2 linked regions of the Lepisosteus oculatus genome follow. The protein of the gene in region 1 purifies or fractionates together with the protein of each later gene. This does not show direct contact. Links are inferred from orthologs where the notes say so. Each region holds a gene or a part of one and is shown in the gene's direction. Other genes may lie near its edges. The genes, in order: aplf and lig3.

What was found.
Region 2: the proteins of aplf (region 1) and lig3 purify together in Homo sapiens (affinity purification with mass spectrometry; 3 studies listed by BioGRID and IntAct, counting the BioPlex papers as one, with this or other methods). This does not show direct contact. The link is inferred for Lepisosteus oculatus from reciprocal best matches to the Homo sapiens genes APLF and LIG3.

Annotation. Positions count from the first base shown.
Region 1 is NC_090712.1:8,479,429-8,491,128, reverse strand, and holds the start of aplf (aprataxin and PNK-like factor), read left to right. Parts: upstream 1-6,226; 5' UTR 6,227-6,297; intron 6,298-6,301; exon of another isoform or gene 6,302-6,384; intron 6,385-6,909; 5' UTR 6,910-6,920; coding exon 6,921-7,013; intron 7,014-11,700. Other genes in the region: fbxo48 (F-box only protein 48), read right to left, coding at 2,852-3,013, 3,504-3,800. UniProt on the Homo sapiens protein: Histone chaperone involved in single-strand and double-strand DNA break repair.
Region 2 is NC_090721.1:1,739,288-1,750,096, reverse strand, and holds the start of lig3 (DNA ligase 3), read left to right. Parts: upstream 1-5,558; 5' UTR 5,559-5,676; intron 5,677-6,569; 5' UTR 6,570-6,598; coding exon 6,599-7,139; intron 7,140-8,229; coding exon 8,230-8,328; intron 8,329-8,742; coding exon 8,743-8,931; intron 8,932-9,722; coding exon 9,723-9,874; intron 9,875-10,809. UniProt on the Homo sapiens protein: Isoform 3 functions as a heterodimer with DNA-repair protein XRCC1 in the nucleus and can correct defective DNA strand-break repair and sister chromatid exchange following treatment with ionizing radiation and alkylating agents.

The DNA of each region.
Region 1 (11,700 bases):
TAATCTATTAAAATGCTACGCACAGATCTTAGCAGACAATATATATCTAACTATAATAGCAGGAAAAAATAGATGTTCTGTATTATCAGAGTTTGCAATACCCAGTAAGCTCGTCTTACCAACAAAGAGTGATTCCCTATTCTTTCTGATTATTAAAATAACATAAAATATGTTTATGCTTTCACATTGTATGTCTTCACCCTATTATAAGTACAAAAGAAATAAAATAAGATACATGGGATTCAGAGGAACTGAAAAATTGGGTGTGTACTGTACATAACCTCAATACACCCATTACCAGTACATATTTAAAGCCCAGCTGGGTTAGTATTGCACAAGGCAACATGAAAATGAAAAGAAAAAACAACACTACAGTGTAGTGCAGTGTAGATTACCACTGATTTGGTATATAATTATAGATACATAGATACATCTATGCTAGATTAAAGTTAAAAATGAAAATGGTTCCTTACCAGACTAGTAAATTACTCAATCTAATTACCAAGTTTGAAGGTTTTGTATATGCATCCTTTCTGATTGTTGATTCACAGTGCTCTAAGTAATATTAAATAATAAGGTATTAAAATAACATGCAGTGCAAGAAAATAAAATTAAAAGGCCTACCCAAAAAACACACACACACAAAGACTGCAAATAATGCTGGGATCACACAGGCAATGGAAACTACTGAAGTAAAAGAACACAGCTGTCTTTGTTATAATTTAGATGCTTTTACATGTTGTGTTTGCTAACACACAATTGAATGTATTTAATGTTGAAAAGCTGCTTTTGTACTGTGTGTGATCTAATGCTTACACATCAAATGTCTATATCTCCACTGAGCTCTGAAGAGCTGTAGACACCTTCATATTGATATAACTAAGACAAAGGAAAACCAAAAACAATGCAACATACAATATTTACAAATACACCTCTGGAAAAACAATAGAAAAGTACATTAAACTGTTAAGTGTTTTTAATAATGGCTATAACATGGTATTACTGTATATCATAGTAGGAGCCCGTTCAGTTGTATTCAATATTTTTAATTCAGACCCAGGAAACTTCTCAGAGAAATCTATTTGATGCAGCAGGTTCCTGTTACTGAACTAACACAACTCATCTTGCCTCTTAGTGAAAGGTTGTCATTTTAAGTTTGTGATAATCTCTCAGGACTTTTTTTAAACAATGCACATATGCAGTAAAAGGCAGGCATTTTATCTAAGACAGGCAGCCAATTAACCATGTTAGCAGCGGATATTGTGGGCAGTGCAGTTCTGACAGAATGTGTCATTCTGCTTGTATCCATCCTTTATCATAAGGCATAAGTAATTTTAAACTGCTACCATGGTTGACTAATTTCAGAAAGTTACTAATTCACACAATAGCACTAAATAATAAATAGAATAATTATAATTATAATATACATAGCACTAAATAAATGTATATACACATCCAAGCTAAAAATGCTTTTGTCCTTTTTAAAATCTCTCTTTTCCCACACAATGTAATATAAATGGCTCATTGCTAAAACAGTTTCCATGCCCATACATAGATAAAACATACCATATACTCTTTACATAGGTTTTGGTGCAAAATGCATGTAAAATGTTTTATGGTGGATTAAAGTATGGCAATTCTAGCAATTTTATACTGTTTTTCTGGTTATTTAGTAAATGTCTGGGAGTTTTTTTTTCTTTTCAGCACATTTCTGTCTGACAGGATAAATTATGGTCTATTACAGCATGGCCTGCTGAAACATTTGACCAAGAATATGAAGCACATAAATAATACAAGATGTATAGTGATTTACTACTTACGATCATCAGATAAAAGTACAACACTGTCTCACTAAATCTTTTAAAGGACTAAAAATCTAACACTAAAGAATTCTCATACATATAATATACAGCTTTATACATTAAGTACTGGTGTTAGGTCCCAAACTGTCCACAATAGTACACTCAGTACACTAACAAATATAGCACCTTAAACAATACATTTGTTCTAAAACGATAACTGAAAAACCTGTTCACTTTCACAATGCGTTTTCTAATCTTTATAGAAATGTTTCATTAATTAGTTTTGTAGCCTCTAATGTTGTGTGCGTTTGTGCTATCTCCCCCTGCTGATAGCTTTAAGTGTTGCAAACAACAGATATTGTAGATTGTGTACTGTTTTAGAACTACTAGAGCCAGTGAGAAATTGCAATTTTCCTTCTTTAAAACCCATTACACTGTCTTACAACATTTTTATATATATTGTACATGTATATATAAATTTGCAAATTCCACTGTATTTACATGAATAGAAAAATGATCAAGCTCTAATATATAATAAACATTCTTCAAGAAATGCATAAAGTAGTAGTTAATATAAAGAAGAATCAACAATAAAACTTATTGATAAAAAAAGCCTTTTGAAAAACCTTTGTGATGAGGCCTAAATATTTTTTGAAGTCTCCAATATTTTCACACTGGCTTGTGAATAGGTGCTGAATTTGTGTCTGTTATATGGCATGTTGACATTAAACTAGAACTTGCACAGATCTGTTTCCCATGATGAGTGTTTATTTACAACAAAATCAGGGACTGATTAAACAGGGAATTAAAGCACAGATTAATTACTTTTTTCTCCACATATTCTGAGCATGCAGAACATGGACAAAACAAAATAGGATTTACTGAATTTATAAATCCTATGTCTGATACGTTTTCAATAAAAAAGATAAAATTACACTGAAGGTATTAAAAATAAATTATTTACAAAAGGTACAGTAAATGTGAAAAAGGAGGTTCAAAATCCCCTTTTCAGAAGTGCTCCACACATACTGTACATCTGCAGCCACCCACTATCTTTCCAGCTCAGCTTCCAAAATTTTCCCCCAGGTTTCTGCATCTAAAGGGTACATGCTCTTATTCGGAAGTTCATGAGAAGAGCGAATGTTGCTGTATCTGCCATTGAGCCATTCTCTTTTCACACAGCCTTTCCAGTAGTTTCTAACTAATGTGACCTAGAAAATGAACAAAAACAGACACAAACAAAAATATTACCTTTCTTGCACTAAACAATTACTGTGACTCTGTAAAATACACTAGCCAAATCCCTACATAATATTAACCTCATTACCCTGTCTAAATTAATAAGACTGAGTGGAACAAACTTACTTTATATAGTGTGCAGTTTACCCATGATGGTGTGAATTTGTGAGGACTGGAATTATATAATGTTCAATAATACTGATGTAGTCTTCCACTGATTCTACAATGCACTGAAAACAATGCCTGCTGAAACATTTGACCAAGAATATGAAGCAAATAAATAATACAAGATGTATAGTGATTTACTACTTACGATCATCAGATAAAAGTACAACACTGTCGCACTAAATCTTTTAAAGGACTGAAAAGCTAAAATCTTTCAAATTAATTGAAAACTACACGCTGATAAACTTTTGCATGAAATTGTTATGAATATAATATAATAAAAATAAAAATACTGACCTTCCAAGAAAACCCATCCCCTCTGTCCTCATCCACCTCTCTCTGACAGATAGCTCTGACTGTCAGGCAGTGATTCCTCCACAGGTGGTCACTGTTTTCAATGATGTTGTTCCAGAGTTTACACGTCACAGCAGCACTGCATAAGCTTTTAACGTCCAGCTTGCTGAAAATCTCCAGACTTATTTCTGGAGGTAATATGTCAGCAAAGTTGTATCCTTGGCCTTCTCTTGAGATCAGACTGCAGCTTCCTTCTGAGAAAGTAGAGGTATTTCTGTTTCTTTTAGAAACATACTGCATAGTTTGAAGTTCTCGCCTCTAGGAATGACAGAATGGCTGTCCTGAAAGCAAAACAACGCTCTTCAAAACGGCTCATTTTCAGATCTGAACATATACTAGTATTGGTATAATGTAAGAAAAGGTTTGTGAACCCTGTAGGTTTGTCCATATCTGTGCATATTTTAGATCTAAAACTTAATTAGATCTTCATGAAAGTCTTTATAAATTAAGAAAGTATCCTGATTAAGTATATATATATCATAATAAGGAACAAGTAATAGGTTTATTCCATGCTGAAAAAAAGAAGAAAGAGAACACAACGTTTCGGACGTGGAGCCTTCTTCAGGTGTGAGAGAGACAGGGCCAGCTCTGCTTCCAAAATTTCTCTCACACCTGAAGAAGGCTCCACGGCCGAAACGTTGTGTTCTCTTTCTTCTTTTTTTCAGCATGGAATAAACCTATTACTTGTTCCTTTGCAGCCTACGCATGCTGACGCAGCTACCCACCTGAACTATATATCATAATATATATATATGTATAACACAAAGACATAACACATACTTCAATTATTTAATTAACAAAAAGATCAACAGAAAAAAACTCCTCCAGGCTTCTCTTAAAAAATCTTTGTGATTTAATGCTTTTTTGGCTTCATAGACCATTGTGTCTCAAAAATCATTGAATTAGTAAATATAAACCCATTTGGTTTTAAAGACCAGGTTAGATGAAGCAAGACATCATGGTAAGAAATGGTAATTCCCACAATTCTATTGAATTTTCACAAACCTTTTCTACAATGAACAAGTAAAGGTTTATTCCAGGCTGAAAAGAGAAGAAAATAAACACAATATTTCGGCTGTGGAGCCTTCTTCTGGTGTGAAGAACCTACTTACTTGAACTACTCTTTCCTAACGTAGTGGTTAATCCCACTATCAGAACAAACTGCAATATTAGAACAAAAGCCTACTTTGTGAGAGTTCCTACCCCTTTTACACACGTAAGGTGTTCTGTAATTAATAACGCCTATTGATAAAATTACATTTCATAAAAAATAGTGTTCGCAATATTTTAGTGGGGTTAGTTGTTTAAATCGTTTTTCTAAATCCCACCGTTAATCATCCTCAGTAAAACGTGCTGTGCAAACCCACAATGGACAAAACTAAAAGGACCTTGAATAACAGTACTACAGAGCATTGTCGAAAACATCGAATAAATATAAAATTGTGTTATACTGTAATTTTATTTGTGTGTGTGTGGGGGGTACATTTAAAAACTCAGAAGATTTACTACTGGGGCAAATTAAGAAATATGTTTAGCTGTTCACTTCGCGGAAGTCTGCATTCATATCCTTATTTTGCCAAGAACTAAGCTGATATACATATATGTACACGACGAAATCCTATCAGATGCAATAATCACACGACAAGGGGAAGTGCAAGGTTACTGCAGATCACCGTTTATTACCGTCTTTTTGTGAAGGAGGGGAGGGTTAATCAAATTAACACTTACTGCCACGTATGTTTATGAACATAATCTCTGCCGGGTCATGAAACAGGCAGTAATGTTTACATTGTTATTAATATAATAACATATAAATATATAAATGGATATTTTGCAAACATTATAATCGCGGTTTACGTACGGGTACCATAAGTGTGTTTAACTTTGAATTGCTTTTTTAGATTTAAAAATTACCTGGCTCACCATATGCCGTTACCAGTGCTAGAAAATAAACAGATTACGCCTTTAACCGATCAGAAAATGAACGTTTTTAAAAGATAAATGACTGCTTTAACGCTTTAAAGTCACGACTTATTTTAAAATTAAAATCATAACTACATACAACTAATCTCTTTTTAAAATTACTAACTGTAGACCGTTTAAACTCATACCTTCTTATGGTTCACGTCATTATGTGACAGCTGACAGTTTAAATGCCTATCCTTTTCAAATTTTTATTTACGCAATGACGCACCCCTACTGACCAACATGGCAAAAACGCATGCGTGCAAGTCGAGGAAGTGTCTGGGAAATGTAGTTTATTTACAGGACGACCGCTGGGTTTTGGGAAGAGAATACGGTGTCACTAGAGAAATGAAGTTTGTAGAAATGCACGCACAGCAGTTTTTTATTATTCTTGTAATACTCAAATTAAATTTGTATTTAAATATAAATTAACAGTATTAAATATGTCTCTTAATTTGAATACGAACTTTACCTTTATAAAAATAGCTCTGTCCAAAAATTTCAAGGTATTCGTTAAGGCACCATGTGGAGGTGTTACGTTTTTATGGAGGTTTTTACCAATTTTGGTGAAATCTGGAAAATGTTGTCTCAATCCTGGTATATTTCAAAGTGGCCTTAATTTATCGTAGTGTAAACGACCACATTTCCCAGAATTCTATGTGATAGTCGGTGCATGCGACTTGAGCTATGTTGTAAAATTACCGGAAATAAACACGATTTTGAACTGTTATCTGAGTGCCTACCAGGTGGCAAACGAAAAATCAGACCACAGGTATTGATTAAGCTCGTAGAGCAGACCTTTAAAACGAAAGTGTGGCACTATAGCCTGGTATCAGTAGCACGTTTGAGCATGTTTCTCGTAAGGACCTTATTTGTACTTTATTGTACTGAATAACGCATATGTACCTCGATTTCTTGTTAAGCATCTGCAAAACTATACAACTACACAAATACAGGGTTGTCAAAAAACAGTGATACTGTTGTTTGTATCGTTAATCAGCAAAGTTTTAATACCTTTATTGTACTGAAGAAAAATTATATGAACTTGATATATATATGAAGACTATTGAAGACATCCTAGCCATATAAATGTGCAACATTTGATGACCTAATGGATTGAGGCAAATTAGACTTAAATTACATGTTGGGTAATTGCTCAGGTTTCTCTTCTGAATCGAATGCTTATATGTACACACCACAGTAACAAAAATTGACCAGCGAGTGAAGTCTGATTTGATCTTAGGACTCTAACTGAGGTTCCAAAACCCAAGGTTTAGTCACACATTGTAATTGACCATTCGGTTGTTTTAATGTTTATGACTTGCATTTGTGAAGCACACGCAGAATGCGTCAAAATGTATATTGTATAATTCTGATTCTGCAGGATAGGTGGACATGTCGGGATTTGAACTGGAACCATTGGACGGGAACTGTTCAATCCCGCTACCAGTTGGAGAAACCTTAATTGGAAGAGGACCTCTTCTCAGGGTACGTGTTTTTTAAACCTACCTCAATTATTTCCTTAAGCACTGCAGATATTTTACTTGTAAGAGGTACAGTCAAGCTATTTCATTTTGCTTAAAAGCAAGATATTTTAGAACATTTAGACATTTGTGACGTGTAATCAACACAATATTGACCGTCGTGTATAACAGCTGGATGCTACACTTCATCGGTGGATAAAGTTGGTCCCCTCTTATGAGCAAAGCACTTTAAGATCCTATGAGGTATATAACATATACATTTAATCGTGGGTGTCTGTAATAGCAGAAACGTTCTTCTTTACCACAAGTGGGCAGCATAGCCTCAAATGGCATACCAGTCAATATGACAATATTCTTCAGAAAGAAAAGTCACTCCAGTTTCTGACTTTTAAAAACATCTTTACAAAACGAACAATTCAAACATAAACTTAAATCCTCAGCATAGCTGCTTTAAAGTTTACTGTGATCAAAGCAAAGCGTTTTAAAGTGTAGTGAAATCACATCCAGCATGTAGGCTGTGGCAGAATAAAGTACAAGCATAGAAAGGGCAGATTTACCTTGCAAAAAGTCAGAAAATCATATACTTCCCTAACTCTCACATTGATTTAATTTGTGTTTGTTACCTGCAGCAATATATTTTGCACTAGTATATAATTAAAATTCTGTGTATACTATACAAGGGACATGCACATAACCGTTTGTATCTTGCAAATGCAAAACAAAAATTGGTGAAATTTGGCAGCTATAGGTCTGAGAAACACGGGACTAGAATAAGAGAACAGAAATTGAAATTTTACTGTTGGAAGACCACACAGTCTTCCAAAGTCAGTCTAGCTGCTGGCATGAGTAACAGATTTCTTTCACAAAAAGCCTGGTTTTATTTATCACACAAACTAAAGAAAAACGTCCAAGGTAGGGGATGTTAATACCCAATGTTTGATGTGTACAAGCTATGTAGTAAACGATTACATGTGTTATCAGATAATATAAATTAAGGTAATATTGAGTAATGTTCTGTAACACCCATAAGATAGATCTCTTTTCAAATATAGTAATGCAGGAAATGAAATGTGATATAAATGTAGAAGCCTTTTTTATTTTGGCGTTTGAGCCCACTCTGCACTCCTAGATGGCACTGTAATACAAGGCTTTCTGTCAGCAAAAAGCACATCACTAAAGTTGGGAGCTTTTCTTGAATTCTTATTTTCAGATTACTTTGGAGTCTATCAGCTTTTATAAAAAATCAAGTCTATAATGGTATTATGGATGGAGGAGCAGACTGCTGCCTTTGTGAGCTAAAACCGGGCGATGTTAATTTATGAACCCTTGTCACTTAAAAAGAGTTATTACAAAGAATAATTTATTTTGTTGTGAGTCCTGAGCTTTTAGCCTTTCAAGGTGCAAATTATAGGCACTGTTTACTACAAGTTTCATTTTTGCCACACCAGTATAAATCTAGATGTACTGTAAAATGTTTGCATGCTGAGTACTTTTTTTTTTTACTGATTCTATTCCATAAAGTAGACACATGGTTTAACAGGCACGCACACACCTTCTTCTGATCTAGATTGTAAGGAGAAACATAAATTACATTTCCTCCTGTGATTTCCTAACACTAAGAGAATAATCAGTGGGGTAATTGCTTTGTCACTGGTCTGCAAATCATTGGATTTTGCCTTATATCTGTGAGCCCTGGAGATGTCTCCAGAGAAATTAGATTTTGAGATTTCTTGGTCAAGTAAACAGAAAGAAATGAATCTTTAAGGATCTTTCTGTCTTGTGTATTTGCTGTGTATTAAGAATTGTGAAAACAATAAAGCATCTTCCAAGCTTAGCAAATATGCTTTTATGCTTGCAGGGTCCAAAGTGTGTGTTGGACATTTGGAAAATGAAAAGGTTCCTTTAAGATGCAGAGAGTGACTGATTTTGAAGCAAGATGCCACAATGCCATAAAGATGTCTATGGATCTCATGCAAGATAGTTCACTAACAAAATAAAGGAAACACTTGGGTAAATGAGGGACACAAAGTATATTGAAAGCAGGTGCTTCTATGCAGGTGTGGACCCTGAATTCAATAAGCATTTAACATCCCATCATGCTTAGGGTCATGTATAAAAAGGCTGGGCAGGCCCAGTTGCCCATTGTTTAGGCTGCCGTGACTAGATGAAGAGATCTCAGTGACTTTCATAGAGGGGTGAATGTTGTGGCATGTTTAGCAGGAACTTTGGTGAGGAAGGCTGCTCATCTTGCTGATGTTTTATGAGGACATCAGTAGCTAAGGTGATACTGGCATGGAGCAGTGGAAGAAAGTCATACTGTCAGATCCTGGTCATTCTTCACTCTGTTTCCAGCAAGTGGATAAGTATATGTGTGGCACCAGTGCTTCTTTCCCACAGTGCAGGGTTCTGGCGGTTCTGTATGGCAAGGTAAATGCCACTAAATACAAAGCCGTTCTGGGTAATCACGTACATCCTGTAGTGGAGCATTTTTATCCTGATGGGAGTGAGATCCTCCCGGATGTCAGTGCTCCCATCCACAGGGCACGAGTGGTCACTGAATGGTTTGATGTACATGCCATGGCCGTCCAAGCACCAAATCGAACATTTATGAGAGAAATGTGCCTGAGACAGTGTTTTCCATCAACAAAACACCAATTGATGGAGTTTCTCGTGGAAGAATGGTGTTGCATTCCTCCACTAGAGTAGACACTTGTGGAAACTATGCCAAGGTGTGTTGAAGCTGTTCTAGTGGCTTGTGGTGACCCATTGCTCTAAGACACTTTTTGTTGGTTATATTTTATTTTAGGAGCTACCTGTATGTACTGTATCTTGTGTTATAAAACAATTATTTCTAATGGTACCTTGCCAAAAGATACCATTAGACTCACAAATAGAGCAAAAGATGTTGCTCATCAAATCTTAAAATATTTGTGCATTCATCAATATTTTTCTTTCAAAAGAAAACTTTTCACTGAAGTGTTTTATCCATGATTGCTGGTGTAGAGAGTTATTGCGGAGGAATACATCAAGGAGAGAAGGGAGTGAACAATTTCTTCTACACTGGGAAATGGAGTGTGAACAATTTTATACATATTTCAATTCAGAGAAATGAAGTTGAGGAGGTGTCTGTCGCTCTTAGGATACCTGTGCTTTTATCTCTTCTCACTGGAAGGACCAAGTAGTGTTAATGTGCTGCTCCTTAACAAGACGAATAAAGGTTCCAACTAGATGTTGAGTTCAGGTCATAATTATGTAGACTAAACCTGGACACTAAACATCCTACCGTACCTATTTAGCTAGAGTTCTAATGGGATTAGTAAAATAAATTTATTACAGATGATGGATACAATTTCAGAAATAGTAGAGGGGTTGTGGGGAGGGGGTTGGAATCAAATCTCGCAGATTAACGCAAGCAGTGCACTAATGATGAAGCTGAAGAGTGCCAGCAAATTTATAGGTATTAAATGTGATTACTGGCATGTAAATGTGGTATTAGCAACTCCCATTGTTTGTAATTGCCCAGCTGCACAGCACAGGGTTGGCCATGAATTAAACATTTTTTCGTTTCTCTGGACTTCGTTGACGGTGTGTTTCCAGGGAGGGTCCATGCGTCTTGGTATGGATACAGGCAGTTCTGTACAGTGAGACCTCTGGCCTTACTGGTTCCTGAGGCTGTCCATGTCCGTACAGTAGAAATAACTTGCATGGCCTTGAAAATGGTCCTAATTAAAACCACAAAGGAATGTGTACTGCAGTGTGTTTGGATCTTTGCCTAATGTGGCATCAGCTGTTCCCTTTTTTATGTCCCATGAAAATGTCATTTTAAAAAAAAACTGTGAGCAGCATTGATATTTCAAAATTAGGGGCTTGTAAAAACATTTTTGCCATCTTGTACAAATTGGACTATGGTTTTCCCGTAATTGCAGACTAATACAGAAATTAACGACTTTTGATTTCTCAGAAAGAGATTTAAGAGGGAATCAACAGATTGCCAGCAATCCGATCTTGGCGTAATATTCTCTGTACGTGGAAGTTGCTAATATTCAGGGTTGAAATTATGGCACACAAGTTGCTTGGGGGGAATCTTTTTATTCTGAAACGCAAAGCAAAACTATTTTAAGAAACAGCAAGCTTTCAATTGCCTCCTTTTCTTCCACAGATATTCCTGGTTGAACTGTGAGTCCTTCTTTAAAAGGTTTTTCTTGAAAATACAGAATTTGCAGCAGTCATACAAATTAATATATTCTCGAGGATTCAGTCTTGGCCAGTTGATTCAGATTATGAGGAGGGAAGATCTGACACCCTTAATGAAGTATACGGGTGCTTTGCACATTAAAAGATCAATAATCTTATATTTGAAAACCTTTTCCACAAGCTGTTCCTTTGACTAATGCACGCTGAGGACAAAATCCATTTCGTAAATGTTTAGTGAGGTGATGTTTGCTTTCTGAGTTATAGCTGCTACTCCTGTGAATTTATTGCAGGCCACTGATCAATTGACTTTAGTTGTTCTTCTGTGAAACGCATACCCATAGAATACAAGCAAATTACACCTTTTCCTCTCTGATAGAATGGAACTAATTATTTCTTAGCCTGCTATACATTCACATATGAATCCAAGCATACATTTTACACTAAGACTTTTTGCTTTGAAGTTCATTTTCAGAGTCAGCCACAGCAACAATATTTCC
Region 2 (10,809 bases), on another chromosome or scaffold:
TTCTGAGTCTGAGGTTTGAAAGGAAACATCGAAATGTCAAAGTACTACTAGGGAAAGACAAGGAAGCACAGCAGTAAGTTACCAGTGACAGAGGATTTGTGAGAAATCTATACAGTATATACTGTACAGTATGTGTTTTATGCCTGTATATTATAATTAACAATGCTTAATGATGTGTAACACTGTTGTTGTTTCATTAAAGTACCGATTCATTTTATGCAACTCATTTCACATTTGATAATTTCCTTTCTGTACTTAAATTTAGTTTCAGTGCATGACTTGCAGAAAACAAAGTCATGCTTTGAAAAATCTTGACAGTTCTGTTTAGTTCTGCACAGATGTCGCCTCCTTTCCAGCTGTGATGAATTCATGCTGGTTACTGTATGTCCATTTGGAAATGTCACATCCTGCTTAATTTGACCCTGAAGGAGTGTTTGCTGAATGTGTACCACCAAAACCTGAAAGCCGATGGGCCAAAATGGATTTTGAAGCTTGTGTTACATTCCTGGGGTGGCATTATGACTTGTTGAACAGTTAAGGGACATTTCTCCTCTAAAGTAAACATAACTTAAAAGGGCATAGCAGAGGACTGTACATATTAACAAATAACAAAAAGTATTTATCAATCCTTAGGCCACAGACTATATAATATAGACATATAAAATTGATTAGTATCCTAAATGTTAAAGACATAAATTTACAAGACAGGTAACCTAACACATACAGAGTGGCACCCCACACAGAACCCCAATAAATCATGAGGTACATGGCAGGACAGCACCCCAATCATGGCGCCCGTACCCCGTGGGGCACGCCGAAGAACAATGCCCTAGGCAGGGTGCCATGGGGGATAGTGAACGTTGCAGTGAAAAAAAATTGTTGAAAACAAGAATAACCTTCCAAAAAGGAATGGGAAAAAGGTTCTCCATCACCTGATGGAGGGGAAAGTTTATAAGTATATAACAGCAATATTAATACTGTGATTTAATGCATTTTGTCTTGTTAGGTGACCATTTTCCTAGGTTTTACATTTGGCTGGCTTTGAAAACCTTTGCAGGCTGCACTTTCAAGACCTGCCTGCCTCAGCCCGGCCCCAGAGCAGCAGTAAATTCTGCAAGACAGCGAAGAAAGTGAGGAGATTGCTTGTTGCCACAGCGGCTCATCACAGAGTTAATCAGCAGGACGGAGTCTCGGGGGGGCTCTGTGGATGCCAGGTGTGCTAAATTGGAAATCAAACGATTTAAATACAACCTTGTGGCGCCAGAGCTTCATTCCAATTTTCAGACGCTGGTTTTTGGAAAGCCTCCACCAGATTCTTCACTGAGTCACTGCTGTTGATCAATGGCGGGAGAGAAAAAAAGAGACAGAGGCAGCACAAAAAATTTCAGATTAAATGCCTTGACATTTTGGTGGGCGGCAATTGAGGGCAATAACAATGATGCAATATTTATTTCTGTCAGCTGAAAACAGAGATATGTGCATCCGCCTTACGGCCAAATGAATTAGGAAAGCCAACATGTTCATTATTCAGAGACTTACCAGGTGAGTGTAATGTTCCAATGAGTATTATTTATTAATACACTCCAGGAGAGTGGCTCTCTAGGAAATTTAATTTTTCTTATCTTAAAAATTAGAAAAAAAATATATTTGCAGATAAAGAGAATTGTTGTTTGGGGCAACAGGATTGGCTCACTAAACAACATTGTTCACTGTAGCTTTCAAACATTTTGAATTAAAATGGACTTAAAGGGACTAAAGACCACTTTTCATAAGTCTGTTTTTTCTCTAGTAGTGAACTTGTGTGACAAAACCAGTCACTACAGCACTGTGAATTAATATATTAATATATTTTGCCTAAGTGTGTGTCTATTGAATAATCAAATGAAGTCTGTAAACCTGCACAACTCAAAGATTTGTATTTGAACAGCAACCCCCAAAACTATTTTTAAAGCAAGGGGATGTTCTGTAGGGCTGCTGCAGATCATAACTGACATATTTTCTTTTTATCATAAGTGTTTGCTTCTCCTCCTGCTTTCTGTTGCTCTATTTGTTGAAATGAAGGGCTCACACCAAGGTCTTTGAGTAGAATTCTTAATGGTACTGGAGAGACAGATTCTATTTTTACTCTAGGCCTTATCAGCAGAGCTGGTCATTAAATTAATTAGTCATTTACATAGCAACCCTGTCACTTGCTCAATTATTACATCTGTCTTCATCTGACTTGAGATGACATTTGGAGAATGGATCATTAAAATGAATTACTTACTGTACATAGCCACCCATTGTGTGTGGGGAGAACAGGGTTAGGATTAGAGCCATCAAAGATAGTTAGGACAATTGTCCAGGGCTGCAAGCTACAAAGAGCACAGAATATGAGAAAAAGAATACTGTACATGTACAAATGTAATAGAACTGGCGCACTACTGCAGCTGTTCATAACCTTTAAAAGTCATACTGAAAATTCTCTCTCTTCTTTCATCTACAGGGCCACACAGCATATCCTGTAGTATAAGGTGAAGCTCATTACTAAACCATCTATCCATGTTCGAACCACAGTACAATACAGGGCCATGAGGGAGACAGAACCAGACCTGACAAGCAACAGGCACAAGATGAGATACACCCTGGGTGGTCTGCCAGTCCATTGCAGGGGACACACACACACAGACACAAACACTCACACTCACACCAAGGCCAATTTCATAGAAGCCAATTAACTTCCAAATACACCATTGGACAGCAGGAGGAAACCCACACAAACACACGACTACTGCTTTTTCTTACGTCTCCTGGGAGCAGAAGCACCTAGAACATACAGTGTTTACTAACAGAGAAAGAAGCTGAAACAACTCTCCCAGCACTGCAAGTTTTCTGTACCTTTGAACAATTAGTTCAGCTTGTATTTTATGAGTGCAAAGAAGCACTGAAAGTGATCAGTGATGTAGATGAAGTGGTATTTTAACCTCTTTAATTAATGCTGCAAAATAAAACAAAGAACTTTACGAGCAAAGAAAAGAATATTGCTCTTGTGCCTGGGAAAGTGATCTGTGTCCTGGGCACTTTGACAGATTTCCAAATCAAATCTGGCTTCAATTTGCCGTGTGAGGGCTTTTGGAGTCACGTTTCTTCAAGTAATGGGGCTCAAACAACTGCAAGACTTCATTTTCTTGTGTTTAACTGTTAATCGTGGAGCAGCAACCATTGAATGCCAGGTTACTTAATTAAGTTTCCCCACCTCGTGGGACCACTACCTCATTGGCAGGCTCTCTAATTGAGTTTGGAAATGTATCACAGTCTTTTCACTTCCTTCAAAGAGAGGAGAGTGAAAGTGAGACATGGTCAAAATCAATTCGCCTTTTGTGTCTTCGGTAAACTTATTTCTGGAATTTTTCCTTGAAGGAGTTACTTGTAAACGTGAGAAAAATATGAATCTAGTCAAGTCAAGTTCAGGTACTTCAGGTAGGTGACTGAAAAAAAAGTGTTCCTCTGAGATGCATCCTGTTACAGTGGTTGTGATATCTGTTAGCCACTCACATCTTGAAAGTTCACATCTCAGAAAAACGTTTGCAGTTCTCTGCAAATGGATTAATTGCTCTTTCACCAGGACTGTGCCAGAGAATAAACAAAGCATGTGCCAAAACTCATGTGCCACAACTGCGTACTCCTTGTGTTAATGTATTTTATTTTAATTATTTTATTGCCCACTTTCTATTATCTATACCCCCTATCTGTAACAATAGCAAAATTATGACGTTTTTTTTTTCAGTTTCTGCACATAAATATATCATTTAAAAGGTTCCTTCCCACATCATAAGAAAGCCACTTATTCCTGGTAATGCCCAGAGTCTTTTCTGCAAGTATAGGGCACTTGCCCGGAGACACTCATTCATACACAGATAAATCAAAGACATAAATGAATCTCTAGGAGGTGGGAGGAAACCAGGGAGCTCAGAAAAAAACCTTTTTGAAAACGTCTCCCTCTAAACCAAAATTTAATTGCTTGTCTATGTGAAGCGAGACAGGCTATCAGTGACCTGATTGATCTTCTACTTTAATCTGACCTGACATAAAGATACAGTAGATAGGATGAAGAAAGGAGTTATCCCGATGGCAAGCTATTGCGTATCTCCAAAAAATAATAAATTCAATTAGACTAGCATTTGAATTGTTAAATCCCCATATATCAACTGATGCACATGCTATCATCTGTGAATTGAGCCCTTTGTCATTACATTTCCTGAGCGACTGTTGAAGAATTGTGGCAGGTGGCAGCAAAACTCCTTGCTGAACACCAGAGGGCGTGCAGTGCACTAGAAAAGGCCTTGTTGTTCCAAACTCAAATAAGACCTAATAACTTGCTTATGTTCAGTCCCCCCACAAGTAATTTCCAGAAAACAGACTGCAGCTTTAGGTGTTAATTGTTACCTGTAACCCTGGATTTTTTTCTCTCTGTGTAGCATATGAATACATACCATGGCCTGGTGTGTTACGTATAGTAACATTCTCTGCTTCTTGAGATGAGGAATGACAGGTAACGAACCTGGCTTAGCTTTTCTACAAGGACTTCGGTGATAAATCCTCACTTTCTGATATTTCCCTCATTGCAATGTAACAGAAGCAGATATACTGTTGCCAAATGAAAGCACTGACATTTAATACTGTTAGGAAACAATAAAAGTTTTTATATCTGATCTGTAACTTAAGAGTCCATGGTGCAGAAAAAAAGCCCCATAACAGAAGTCTTCCTGGGGCAAAATAAATCGAGGGCTTCTGTATAAAGGAGTGGGGAAGATAATGCCCTCAGTCAGGATTTCAGATGGATGGATATCGGAGGTATCGTCTGACTGGCTTCTTGAAGCTTGGTTTCTTTTTCTACGTTTAGGGCACATGCTTTCTTCAATGTGGGCTTAGCCAGTTCTTCAGTCTCTTGGGTCCAATCACATTGGAAAAGGCAATAGACAGTCACTGTTTGGTTGTGTGATGGTGGGGTGCATGTAGAAAAGAAATACAATGCCAGTTTCTTTTTTGGATCATGAAGAAGCGTGCTTTTGTGGAGTCTTATGACAAAACAGATCTCCAGTGAAAGAGCGATGCTTCCATCTAGAGGACAAGGCGAATATTGAAACCTCACCGCCGACCAAACCTGAAAAAAGGCTTTCATAAAAAAACAAGTCTCAGACCTTTACACAGATATCTGGGAGGATCTGGAGTAAACTGCTTAAACACATTGCGGCTAGCTTCTTTCAAAAAAAGCCTGAATGATCCTTTGATCAATGACCTACCCGTAATCACATGAGCTAGCCTAGATAAATAGCCCCATTTCGATTATAAACCTTCTTATGTTATATTCGCTGTATGCTGTAACTATGGCAGTCATAATTACAGCAGCTTTGCGACAGTGTAGTAATAATTAAAGAAACAAAACTTATAGTTCACTGTTTAATAGCTTTACAGTTATTTTTAAAGATATACCCCGGCACGGCTTACACCTGAATTTCTGTCGGCATAAAACTTTTAACTGTCGCACATGCGCACTGTGGGATATGACAGGAAACAAAAGGGGAACGTGGCTGGTGTTTAAAGGGGAAACCTCACATTGAAAATAACACACTACAGTGGAGAAAATGATAAGTACAAAAATAGCACAAACACATCTGTAACAAACGAATAACACCGGTAAGCATGGTCTTAAGCATTTTTATTGTAAAGTGCATTTTACATAAGGTTCCTGATTTTTTCCGTGGCGTTGGGAAATTAAAATGTCTGTTTTAGCTGTGGTCGAGCACGGCACAGTGGATTCTAAAAGCGAAAGACATTTTACTGGGAACTTGTGCGTTACAGCAAACAGCAAACTCGAAGTGGTGGGAAATTAAGGCCATCTATAATCTATCTGCTCTTTAGTTAAGCCATTTTTGTGTTTTCACACAATACTAAAATCGGTCAAGTTGAAGAAAGTGTGCTTTGCACTACGAATTTTATTTTTTAATTTAAAAGCCGAATAGAGTGGACAAAAATGTTGATGACATAACTATTTCAGCTTGAAACCACGTAAAGTGTTTATGATTATCAGCCATGAAGGGTGATAATCTTAGAATATCTTCATTTGCCTGGTACAGTATAATATCATAATTTAAGACTATCCTGCATGGTGCAACATTGTAGTCATACAGAGATTAAGGAAACAGGCTGCCTTCTGTTAGAATGTTGCTTAATGAGAAAAAAAAACATCTGTTCTCGCGGAACCGATTTCTTTTGGCACAAGATATTTTGTAGAATAGCAGCTGCATTTAAGGGGACTTTGCCGAGTTTTTTTTTAATCAACTGCACCCAATTCACAACTTCGGTCAAAAAGCCCAGGCTCACGCTGAAACTAAACTCATGAAGGAAAAGCGTTGTTTTCTGGGCACTTTTCTTGATAAAGACAGAAAAAAAACTAGTAATCGAATCCGCTATGGCGCGACCTGGAAAAAGCTCCAGGAGAAGTTCTCCATTGCTCACTTTTCTGTGAAAGGCGTTTATCGACTCATCTTCGTCTGTCTGCTGATTCTCCATGCTTTCTTCCCCCTCAGGTGTTAAAGTGATGAGCTAGGTATGCTTCATGCTTAAACTCTGCACCCACCAAACAAGCAGAGCACTTTTCAGCACACTGCTGCTCAAACTCTTCCAGAATCAGGCTTCTGCCAGCGAATCCGTTCAGTCCTTCAACTTCCACCGGAGTGCCACGTGTGCGGCCTATAGCTCCCGGTCCCAGGCCTTCCTCGGCAAGCCTTGGCACGCCTGTGCCCGGACCCCAGCGTCTCGAGCTTTCCACCTGTCCTGGTCCCCGTGTGGCGGCGGCGGCGAGCGCGAGGCCATGCCCGAGCAACGGTACTGCGTGGAGTACGCCAAGCGCGGCACAGCCGGCTGCAAGAAGTGCAAGGAGAAGATCGTCAAGGGGCTGGTGCGCATCGGCAAGATCGTGCCCAACCCCTTCAGCGAGTCCGCGGGCGACATGAAGGAGTGGTACCACGTCAAGTGCATGTTCGAGAAGCTGGAGCGCGCCCGGATCACCACCCGGAGGATCGAGGACATAACGGACCTGGAGGGCTGGGAGGAGGTGCAGGATGAGGATAAGGAGCTCATCAACAAGCACATTGCAGGTGGAGGGGGGGGGGGGGGTGCTTCTGTTTCAGTTAGTCAATGTGGGAATGGGAGTTCTGAATCCATGACACTGGCTCCCCAGTCCTGCTGGTCCTGATTCTGGACCGCGGGTTGCCCAAGTCTCTTCAGAGCCGTGATTCCCAATGCTGGCCCTGGAGAAACACTGTCTCGTCTGTTTTCCTTCTTGTAGTTGAGTTATTAAGCACCGGCTAATTGATTTCAGTTTTCTAATGGTTCGTGTTAGAAACATTTCCTCTCAGCTCTTAGAAGGACCAATGGGATTTACAATTGGTATTGGCCTGGAATGTAACCAATTGGACATCTGCAAAATCTTAATTTATGTGTGTCTGATACAGTGCCACTCCCACCTGTGGGTGTGTCTGATACAGTGCCACTCCTACCTAAGTCTGTTCATTGCCGGGTGATGAATTTGTAAGAGCTGTTTACTCTAAGATAAAGGAAAGGTTATGTGTGTAAGTTCTATATGATGATACAGTACCCTTGACACTCAGGACTGACCTAAACAAGTAAAAACAAGCAAGAATAAGTCAGCATTTAACATTTGAGAGCTCAGCTGGACTGACATATAGGATCATATAGTGTTCCTCCAGGACCAAGACTGGGAACCACAGCCTTAGAGCAGCAGCTGAAGAGCCAGGAGAAGATGCTAAACTGGTCTAATAAAGACAAGAATCTTCTGATTTAGGTTATTATGAGCTCAGCTGTAGTGAAAACCTATAGACACACCGACCCTTCAGGACCAAGATTGGGAACCAGTGTGCTTTTATATGACTGAAAAAGAAAAAAAGTTGGGAACCATTAATTCTTGAGATGGATAATGCTTAAGAAGACAGCAGGCAAAACACTTATTCATGAATCATTCTCACAGATTTTACCATGAGAATGTTTATTAAAATTAATCTGGAAACATATCTTTCTGTTATGTATTGTCCACTTATTCTTTAGGAATTTTGAAATTGGGATTTATTGTAACTCTTATGTTGCTATGCGTAATTAAAAATGTATTTCTTAAAGGGGCAGGGTACAAACTAACAGGACACTGTTTTTTGTGTGTGGTTGCTTGGCTAGATCTGGCTGCGAAGACTAACCACAGCCCTAAGAAGAAGGTTCAGACTGGCCTGGCTGACCTGTCCCCTGTGACGCCACGCAAGTTCTCTGGATTCACTGGTAAGAAGGTGCTGCCATTGTCACAGTTTGCTCTTTCCTGTCCTGTACTGTAGCCAACTGAAAGCCACGAGCAGCAGGAAGAAATAGTCAAAGTTTCTCCAATCTGCCTAAGTCAACCTTTTTTAGAGCACAGTTTTAATCAGTTGATGTGTAAACTGAAGTAAAGAGAACAGGCAAAATGATCCACTAAAAGATCACGTGACATCGCGGGAGTATTTCCAGTTAATAAAAATGGGGATGAGTGCGATGGACTGGCGTCCTGTCCAGGGTGTATCCTGCCTTGCGTCTATTGCCTTCTGGGATTGGCTCCAGCTACCCCATGGCCTTGGATGGTATTGGATAGGATGGTTAGAAACTGGATAACTGGTCATTTCTTCTGCGCCCATGGGTAACCCTGTCGATTGTGACTGACAGCCGCCAAGCCTGGCACCTCCAGCTCTCCCGGGGGCTCCAGCAGCCTGTCGGCCCAGCTGTCTGACCCCAGCCACAAGGACTGCCTGTTGCGGGAGTTCCGCAAGCTGTGCGCCATGGTGGCGGAGAAGGCCAGTTACAACGTCAAGACGCAGATAATCCAGGACTTCCTGAAGAAGGGCTCCAGTGGGGGTGAGTGCCCGCCCGTGAACAAAGGGTCAGTTAATACAGGCTAATGTTGCATTCGGCAGCTCACGTCAGCAAAGTCTCAGGCTGATCGTAGGTAAAAATTGTCGTGCCTTTGTCTTCCGCATGAAGGAGAACTCATTTAAAATAATTCAGGTGGGTAGCTGCGTTGGCATGTGTACGCTGTGAAGGAACAAGTTATAGGTTTATTCCATGCTGAAAAGAGAAGAAAACACATCGTTTCGGCCGTGGAGCCTTCTTCAGGTGGGTTCTTCAGGTATGACACCTGAAGAGGGCTCCACAGCCGAAACGTTGTTCATTTAAAATAATTCAGCTTGTGACCATTTGAAAATCATCGCCAGCCGTAAACGTTTTTACAGTTTTCTGTTGCTTGCAGGCTATATGCAAAACACGTAACACTCTGAAGCTCAAAGTGATAAAATCACACACAGTTTGATTTTAACCATTGTGCATTGACGCTTAGAAATCGAGGGTTTTACTTTATCTTATTAAAACAGCAATTCGCTGTTTCAGAACACCATTGATGCTTTGAGTCGAAAAGAAAGGCCTGTGGTTTTATTGAGTTGCTCAGTGTTTATGCAGTTTTTAAGTGTAGAATACAGAATTTTCATCCTTAATTTATGCAGAACAGTGAACAGACCCCTTCCGTTTTTGAATCCAGGTGACGGCAGGCCTGGGCACAGTTGTTCATACTCCGAGACCCCACCCCTGGAAAAGGCGGCTGCCCCAGTATTAACCCCCTTGTATCTGTGTTCCCGCCCCCCGGCTCGTTGCAGACGGTTTCCGCGGAGACCTGTACCTGACCGTGAAGCTGCTGCTCCCGGGGGTGATCAAGAGCGTGTACAACCTGAACGACAAGCAGATCGTCAAGCTGTTCAGCCGCATCTTCAACAGCAGCCAGGACGACATGGTGCGGGACCTCGAGCAGGTCAGGCCCTCCTCCTCCTCCTCGTGTCTCCGCCACTCCGCCTGCACGCTGATCTCGGCAGCAGGCCCTGGATTGGGAGGCACTGGCGAAAATATTTTATCAGGAAAAACGGGAAGATTTGTGCTCTGTGTCGAGCAGTTGTTTTCGAAACAAGATACGGGGCTTGCTGATCTTCCACAGAACTAGATCCTGGGTAAACGGAATAGAAGGGGGGAGGATTTATTCTGCTGTGGAAAAGATTTTCAGTGAGTTTTGCAAATGCTTCACCAAATTCAGCACAGACCTTTTGTATTGCGGTACAGTTTCTGATATGTATTAGCGTTATATACTATTTTTCGCTTCTAACATGAGATACAAACTGAGAAAAAAGTCATTTGTGCTGTACAGTATTTCTGCTCCAGCCTTTCTTAGTATGCGCTTGAAATGCAGTCTTAATTTGTTACATTTTGGTGTATTAATTTCTATGTCAGATGAAGCATTCATGTTATTTCAGTGTTAACACATTTTAAATAAAATATGTAGAGGAAAACTGAAGGATGATTAGTTTCTAAGAGCATTATGCTTTGAAGTATGTAGCCTGATGTAGCCAGCATTTTCAAACTTAATCTGTATTTTCCCAACATGCATTATAATACTTCTCAAACCTGTTAGTGGTAACTTATTTTGCTAGTTATTATACCTGTATACACTTGATGTATGAGTAAATAATGATGAAATTGCAGCTTGCTTGTCCTTTGCTTCAATTTAAACCCCCTGAGGTGTGGAAGGACATAATAAAAATAAAAATAATAAAAGCAGATTTCAAATCCAAACACCTGCGTGAGAGGTTGAACAGTGCTTCAAGGTCAAGTGATGTTTGTGGCTTGTCTGTAAGCCCTTCTTGCTCCCCTTTTATCCCAAACCAAACTGTAACATCCCTGACATCTCTGTTGCAA